2 linked regions of the Danio rerio genome follow. The protein of the gene in region 1 binds, or shares a complex with, the protein of each later gene. Links are inferred from orthologs where the notes say so. Each region holds a gene or a part of one and is shown on either strand. Other genes may lie near its edges. The genes, in order: rnaseh2b and rnaseh2c.

The links.
Region 2: the proteins of rnaseh2b (region 1) and rnaseh2c are in contact, whole or in part, in a crystal structure (PDB 3PUF), measured with the Homo sapiens proteins. The link is inferred for Danio rerio from reciprocal best matches to the Homo sapiens genes RNASEH2B and RNASEH2C. Residues at the interface, in NP_078846.2 of Homo sapiens: Arg14, Gln15, His16, Val17, Phe18, Leu19, Val20, Ser21, Glu22, Leu24, Leu35, Met36, Phe37, Val38, Lys39, Leu52, Glu62, Lys64, Phe66, Glu68, His70, His71, Ser72, Trp73, Phe74, Ile75, Asn76, Gln77, Ser78, Val79; in NP_115569.2 of Homo sapiens: Ile9, His12, Arg13, Val14, His15, Leu16, Ser18, Ala27, Thr28, Leu29, His30, Leu31, Leu32, Pro33, Cys34, Glu35, Val36, Ala37, Val38, Asp39, Gly40, Pro41, Ala42, Pro43, Val44, Gly45, Phe48, Phe63, Val75, Pro77.

The regions. Positions count from the first base shown.
Region 1 is NC_133184.1:31,343,379-31,347,895, reverse strand, and holds the start of rnaseh2b (ribonuclease H2 subunit B), read right to left. Parts: upstream 2,914-4,517; 5' UTR 2,789-2,913; intron 1,998-2,788; 5' UTR 1,926-1,997; intron 1,815-1,925; 5' UTR 1,707-1,814; intron 1-1,706. UniProt on the Homo sapiens protein: Non catalytic subunit of RNase H2, an endonuclease that specifically degrades the RNA of RNA:DNA hybrids. Participates in DNA replication, possibly by mediating the removal of lagging-strand Okazaki fragment RNA primers during DNA replication.
Region 2 is NC_133189.1:40,008,302-40,011,371, reverse strand, and holds the end of rnaseh2c (ribonuclease H2 subunit C), read left to right. Parts: intron 1-489; coding exon 490-643; intron 644-727; coding exon 728-840; intron 841-925; coding exon 926-1,045; intron 1,046-1,336; coding exon 1,337-1,360; 3' UTR 1,361-2,264; downstream 2,265-3,070.

The sequences.
Region 1 (4,517 bases):
TGTTTGCAACACTTTGTATTTTTGAGTGTATGTTACAAAATGTGAATGTACAAATGAAATTAAACAATTATCATGTCAAAGATGCCAAAAGGATAAAATATGTTTCATTTAAAGCTCATATGTCTCATGTAAAAAGAAGAGATAAGTAAAAGAAGAAACAAGATGAAGTAATAGACGAATGACGTGTGTGGTAATGGGGTGGGAAAATAATAAGCTTGTGCTTCATCCTGCTCCATTTTGACCATGTTGAAATGTGTTTTTGTTTAAAGAATTGTTTTATGTATGATTTTTCTGTTCTAAATAAATAAATCAAATTACCATTTGTAACTTTGACAAATTAACAACAATACATTTTATTGAATTGTTTAAAACGAAGACTATGCAGTATTATTTTACAATTTATTATTCAATTACTTTATACCTGAATACAGTTCGACTCATCAGAAAACAATAAAACTGGCTATTTTTTTCATTTGTTTCTTTTTTATTGAGTTTATTTAAACTTGTAGATTGTTTATTATACATTATGTACTCCCCAACAGAATCTAAAATTATAAATTATTTCCAAATAGCTATTCAAGTCATCTCATGAAATTGTATTCATATCGCAATGTACAGTTGAAGTCAGAATTATTACCCCCCACTGAATTTTTTTTTTTTTTTCAAATATTTCTCAAATGATGTTTAACAGAGCAAGGGGGTTGTCACAGTATGTCTGATAATATTTTTTCTTCTGGAGAAAGTCTTATTTGTTTTATTTAGGCTAAAATAAAAGCAGTTTTTTTTTAAACACTATTTTAAGGTCAACATTATTAGCCCCTTTAAGCAATTTTTTTCGATAGTCTACAGCAGTGGTTCTCAAAGTGGTGGTCGGGACCCCTTGAGGGGTCGCGGGACAATGAAAAGGGGTCGCTTAGTGATTTCCAAAACTCAAATACATTTGAGTAAACTATTAGAATTACCATATTTTATTCATAACCCACAGAAGATAGTTAATAGTTATGTTAAAGACACAACAACAACAACATACAAACAAAAATCAGCCATCAGCCTTTAATTTTTTTATGTTTGAATTAAATTAATGAATGACTACAAAAAACATTATACGGTTATTAGACTGTTGCATTTGTATGTTGTCAATATGCTCATGTTTTTTATGCCTATAGTTGTGTATTTTTAAAGTATAACCACCTTGAAAAATGGGGGTACCAAATCACTGACATCATTATTTTGGGGGTCGCGGGTTGTAAAGTTTGGGAACCCCTGGTCTACAGAACAAACCATAGTTATACATTAACTTGCCTAATTACCCTAACCTGCCTTGTTAACCTAAAAATGTTAATTTAAACTGTTTAGAAGTGTCTTGAAAAATATCTATCTTTTGTCATCATGGCAAAAAAATCAGTTAAAAATCTGTTATTAGAGATGAGTTATTAAAACTATTATGTTTGGAAATGCGTTAAAAAAATCTCTCCATTTAACAGAAATTGGGGAAAAAATAAACAGTGAGCCAATAATTCTAACTTTTACTGTATATCACAGAACAAAAAAATATTACAATGTAAAATATTTCCAATATCATGCAGTCCTACTATCAGAAACTGAAACAGGTTTGAAATAGATTGTGAATAAATTATGACAGAATTTTTATTTTTGTGTGAACTATCCTATTAATGGACGATTCACTCTCTGTAGTGTGAGCTTACCTCTTTGCACTGTCTGTCCAATAAACCAAGACCGGAAGTCTTCAGAAAAAGCTTTTACTTCATAAACACTCAAATCTCCACAGCCAAACAGGTACAGCGAAGAACTACCTGAACTCAGACAACGACAGAACTGTCAGTTAGTTAAGGTTCATATAGCTGATCCACGTCATCTCTAAACCATCAGTTGCAGTAAATGAGTGCACTGAGTCAAAAGGCCACCTGTAGAAGGATTCTTCAGTTTGATGAAGGAAGGATCACTGTCGACAGACCTGCCAGTGTCTAGTGCTGAATCTGAAAAAAAGGGAAGTCACAGAAGGAAAATATAAGTGGATTAATAAAATTCATAACTAAACTTAATGTAGATGTTGGTGGTTAAAGGGATAGTTTACTCAAAATAAATGAAAATTTTGTTGTCATTTACTTATCGAAAAAACTAATTCTGAAAACAAAAACATATTTTGAAGAATGTGGCCAAAACAAAAGGTTGCAGTTACATGGTATAATTAAAATACCATGGGGGTCAATGGAGACCAGAAGTTGTTCGATTGAGCACATTTTCAAAATATCTTATGCTAAGTAGAGGAGAGAAATTCTCAGAAAATTAAAAGGTAGTAAATGGTAACGTAATAACGTTATACATACACTATATGCACTACTACTAATAATTACTATTAGAGTGATTTCTGAAGGACCCGAAGACTGGAGTAATGAAGCTGAAAATTAATCTTTAAAATCACTGGAATAAATTATTAATTTAAATGATAAACTGTTTTTGCACAGTTATTTTATAGTGCATTAACATTACACAATTTTTACTGTATTCAACAAATGCAGTCTTGGTAAGCAGGAAAAGCTCATTTTTTAAACATTTAAAATATTGAATGTAACTAACGGTTAAACATAGAGCATAAAGATAAATACATTTTCATAACGAGTCCTCAGTGTATTAGGATGTGAACTGAAGACTGTTTATAACATCAGTAACGTTATATAAGTTTAGTATACAATGCATGTAGGGACATGTGTGAACATGCAACAGCAACACAGAGTAACTAACGTTAAACGTAGCAAATGTTAGATACCTGGAGCAATGACAACCCAACTGTCGCTCTCGGTGTGTGCAGACCGTTTCTTTTTAGAAGTCATTTCAAATAACTAGTTTTAAAAGTTAAACTGTAAAAACAAGTTGTCCGCTGTGTATAAATGCGACGAGTGAATGTTGTGCCTTCAGAAAAATGGCGGCAAATCTTTGAGTTACACATAAGCAGGGGTAAGTACTCGACTTCAAGTTTTATTCTAGGGTTTGTTTAGGTAGTGCTGCACAATATTATACATTCCTTAATAATATATTGCGAATAAATCAGATGTTATGTTTTTTAAGAACGGGAGTGGAGAATGGCACCTCTAAAGAAATATCGAGTGCACCGTGTTCACCCTTCTCTCCAAATGGTACGGTCTCTCAGTATTCCTTAAAGACATAGCGGGTCATTAAAAGCACCAGGCAGCCTTCAGGTCTTCCATTTTAATCAACTGATTCTTCTTTTTTGTGTTAAATTATTATTGTTAAAGAGTGTTGTTCTTGTTACCATTTAAACCATTAAAAGGTAAGGTGTTGAGTTTAGTGTACAGTATTTCAGTATCAGTACTGAAAATGAACGACCTAATCTAATGTAAAACAACACTGTATAGACTTCACTGTATAAATAAAATTTCTACATTTATAGCTATTTATAGCATGGATTTATAGATTAGTGAAGTTATAAAAGCTATTCAGACCTGATTGGTGAGTACCCTAATTTTATTGCATTGACAGGCCTATTATGATACAAATCAAACTCACAGCAGGTTCATTAGGCTGCAGTTATCTACGTGCATAAATATGTCTGTGGACTTCTTCATGTATTTATTTATATGACAAATAGTTTATAGTACATTTTTCTTTGTGGCCTATTTTTGTTGTCTGGGGGAATTGTGCAACACCACCAGCTACAAATATTTAAAAAAGAATCGTTTGTGATAAACTTCTACCCAAACATAAAAAACAAGATGCAAAGCTGTTCTCTTTTGTTGTGATATAGCCTACTGTAAACATTTACATGACACATTTATTATACAGCTTAAATAACTAATGTGTGTATTATTGGTACACACATAGCCTACATGTGCACTGAGAGGGAAGACACACAATATTAGGAAGGATGTTTAAAAAAACTCAGAGACAAGTCTTGAGGTGTCTGCTTAGTTCCAGCACTTCAAGCGGCCCCAGGATCTTGTCAGGTTTTGCCAGTGGTGCATAGGGTACAGGTGTCTCTTGCACAGTATGATAATATTTATTTACAAAGCATTTTATTCACATTGTCAGGTTGTGATCCATCAGCAGTATTAATCTAAAATCTGGATTAAATCAAAGTTTATCTAAGAATTATGTTGCCTAAATATGAGGCATGTGGTTTACAATTATACCAAATGTTTGATCCTGGACTTTATTTCACAATAAACCTGGATTAACTAGGCTACAATCTTATTGTTTCATCACTTAGGTTTAGATTTAAGTTAAGGATCAACTTTAAATTTGCAATTGATAAGGTTTAAACAGCCTAAATGCTATTCTATTTCTGGTGAAAAAAATTAAAGTTTCTCACAGATAAACAAGGGACTATCCCAACATTTTAGTTCTCTTCCTTGACCAAATGTGTTTTTAACAATCAATTCAGTTATTAATTAATACAATATAATATATATTTAGACCATATAATCTGAGACAGAGATATATTGTACTCCTAGATTAGATCTGAAAATACCCCAAAACTC
Region 2 (3,070 bases), on another chromosome or scaffold:
ATATTAGTGACAAGGCAGCACTGTCCCAATCGGGCCATTAATGATCCGGTCTACTGTCCCAAGTGTCTCTCACGGCGGCCCTGGGCCACCGGGCAGTCCTTATTGTTTAGCCCTGATGTGTATTGACCATTTCAATGTAGTGATGTCATTGGCTCATGAATATTTCCTGCTGGTTTTCAGACTATTTCATCACTGTAACAAGAGGCAATTCAATCATACCTTAATGTAAAACAGCTATCATGACATTATCAATATGTGGCTCTTTTTGGATTCTCGAAGCTATAGAAATTAAAAATGTAAAGCAGGAAACAGGACCATTGTTTTTGTTTACATGCCTCAAAATGGTCTATAAAACCAACTTTACTTCAATTAACTTGAACCATTATAACAACAAAACATGTTCATAAGTGCACAAAGCCACATGTGGACTGCCTGGTATCACTCTCGCATAAAATACTTGAAATCCTAATAACAAGTTTGTTTTACTAGATGACGGCAAATAGTTGTGTGACATCCATCCGACGTGATTCCATCAAACAAGCTGACAAACCACAGATCCACCTGTTACCTTGTGAAGTAGAGCATGACGGACCCGCCGAAGTCTTCAAGTTCTTTAATCCCACAGTGAAGGAACGCAAACATGGTTAGTCAAACACCAGCACACACCTCGAGACTACAACTCAAGTTTTAGCACTCCACCCGATAAAGATAACATTGTGTTTGGCAGAAACCACAGTATCATTCAGAGGCCGAGGGCTGAAGGGTCAGGAGTTGCAATGCCCACAAGGATACACAGGAGTGGTGCTGAAAGAGGTCCAGAAGCCGGCATCTGATCAAGAGGTGCCTGCAAATCAAACATGTTTAAATGTTAGATGTCTACTTTCTAGGAAACACATCTTTAATGATTTCTAACAATTGTTTCCAGGACAGAGTAGTAAAAGTTTCTTCAGTGTTTCATCATTTCACATACTGGAATTTGGAGACGCCTCCCACATCTGATGACGGAGTTGTGATGGCGATGGCATGGCCAGAGTTAGCAGAGGCGGTGAGTTACTTTCTGAAGCACTTATTTATTGTCATTAACACAGCAGATAATAATGTAATAAACACATTTTCTGCCAATTCAAATTCTCTAAAGCAGGGATGCTCAAACTTGGTCCTGAAGGGTTGGTGTCCTGAATAGTTTACTTTCTTCAACACACCTGCTTGATACCTAGAAAGAGCTTGATTAAATGGTTCAGGTGTGTCTAACTGGGTTTGGAACTAAACTTTGCAGGACACCGGCCCTCTGAGTTTGGGCACCTGCATTAACTTAAATCAATACCTCTTCCTGCAGATACATGGACCAGTGGATGACTGATAACGGATGCTGTTTTATTATGGAGATCTACCCCCCCCCCCCTTCCCCTCCAAGTACACGGTTACAGTAAAACAAATGTTAAAATAATCTTTTGCTGGAAGACCACCATTTTTACCACACTTACCATGAATGTCACAATCTAACAATCTATTAAAGTGTTGTTTTATTGTTTTCCCTTGTGCAAACTCTTACTTTTGCCATGTAGCTGCTCATTATTTAATAGTAACAATACATTTTGATTTGATATTCATTAGTGATAAAAGATTGCAGTTATGTTTTTTGAAACAAGTCTCGTGTTCACCAAGGTTACATTTGTTTGATTTAAATACAGTAAAGATTGTAATATTGTGAAATATCAGTAGAGGGCACCTATTTGACCCCTTTTTCTAGATTTAAGATAAGTCTTTCGTGTCTCCAGAATGTGTTTCAGCTCAAAACACCAATCAGATTATTTATTATCCCTTTCGGAATATTCAAATGTTCTGCTCTGAACACTATGAAGCTGTTTTTGTGGCCTGTGCCTTTAATGCTGGTTCCCTCCACCCACCGTTCTCCACCCACCAGGCCTGTCAGAGTGTGCCTTAATCTTCCCCACGACTGTGTCAGATAAACAGCACAGTGACAGACATGAAGGAAGCAGATCTCACATAACATTTGTGAGAAATTCTATAGTGAAAACTTTCCCAATGATTTTTTGATGTATTGGGTGCAGTTTTTTTGAGCCTTTCAATGTATCACACACAATGTTGTTATAAAGTTCACGCACACAGATATACATAGAGAACGCACGCTTTACTATACACTGCTTTTGCATGGCAAATGTGACAGGATATAAACGTTAATATCCACCGCTATATGGATATCTGTTATGTTAATGTACAAAATAAACCTGATTTAACATCCACAAACCGAGATTGAAGCGTCTTCTTTTATAATTATACTAACAAGCAGCTGTGGTGATAAATTAAAGATAAAGTAAAATTGCTGTAATTCATTACAAACATGCACTGTTTGAAAAACTTTTAAACTTGTAAAACTCATTCTTGATGACGATCTTTAATCCCAGTTGCTTTGCACATGTCCTGACTTGTTGATATGACACATTACTACGGACACATGTTAATAAGCAGCTGTCAATCAATTCGGTGGGCGGGGAAACCACACTCCTACGTCACATTGCGGTCGGCCTCAAAATGGGACGGATTTAGATCTTATTTTAATGTTAAGAGATTCAAAACATTGAGACCTATTGTCTATTATCAATCCCAGTATAACTGTGGACACACTATACGTACACACAGTTGTCCAAACAGTTTACAAAAGATGATCATAGGTGCCCTTTGAAATAGCTGTCTTGTACCTAATTTCACAGCTAAATTACTCCAATCTGTCACATGATAGTAAGGATTTTTTTTCCATGTAAGATTTTTGGATGAACAACGAGTGAACAAATTGGATGAACAAATTTAATGTATCACTGGCGAATAAAAGCATTGATTTCACTCTCACACAAAACAGCACAAAACACATACACAGCAAAACATTTCCATAAGTGATAGTCAGTTAACTGCTTTAAAGGATCGAAATGCTTATTTCTTGGTATAACAGATATAATTCTTTATAAAAAACAAACAACAAAACTGTAAAACATCACCATGAAATAAATAGGCTTTGTTCACTCTAAAATGAAAATGCTATCATCATTTCCTC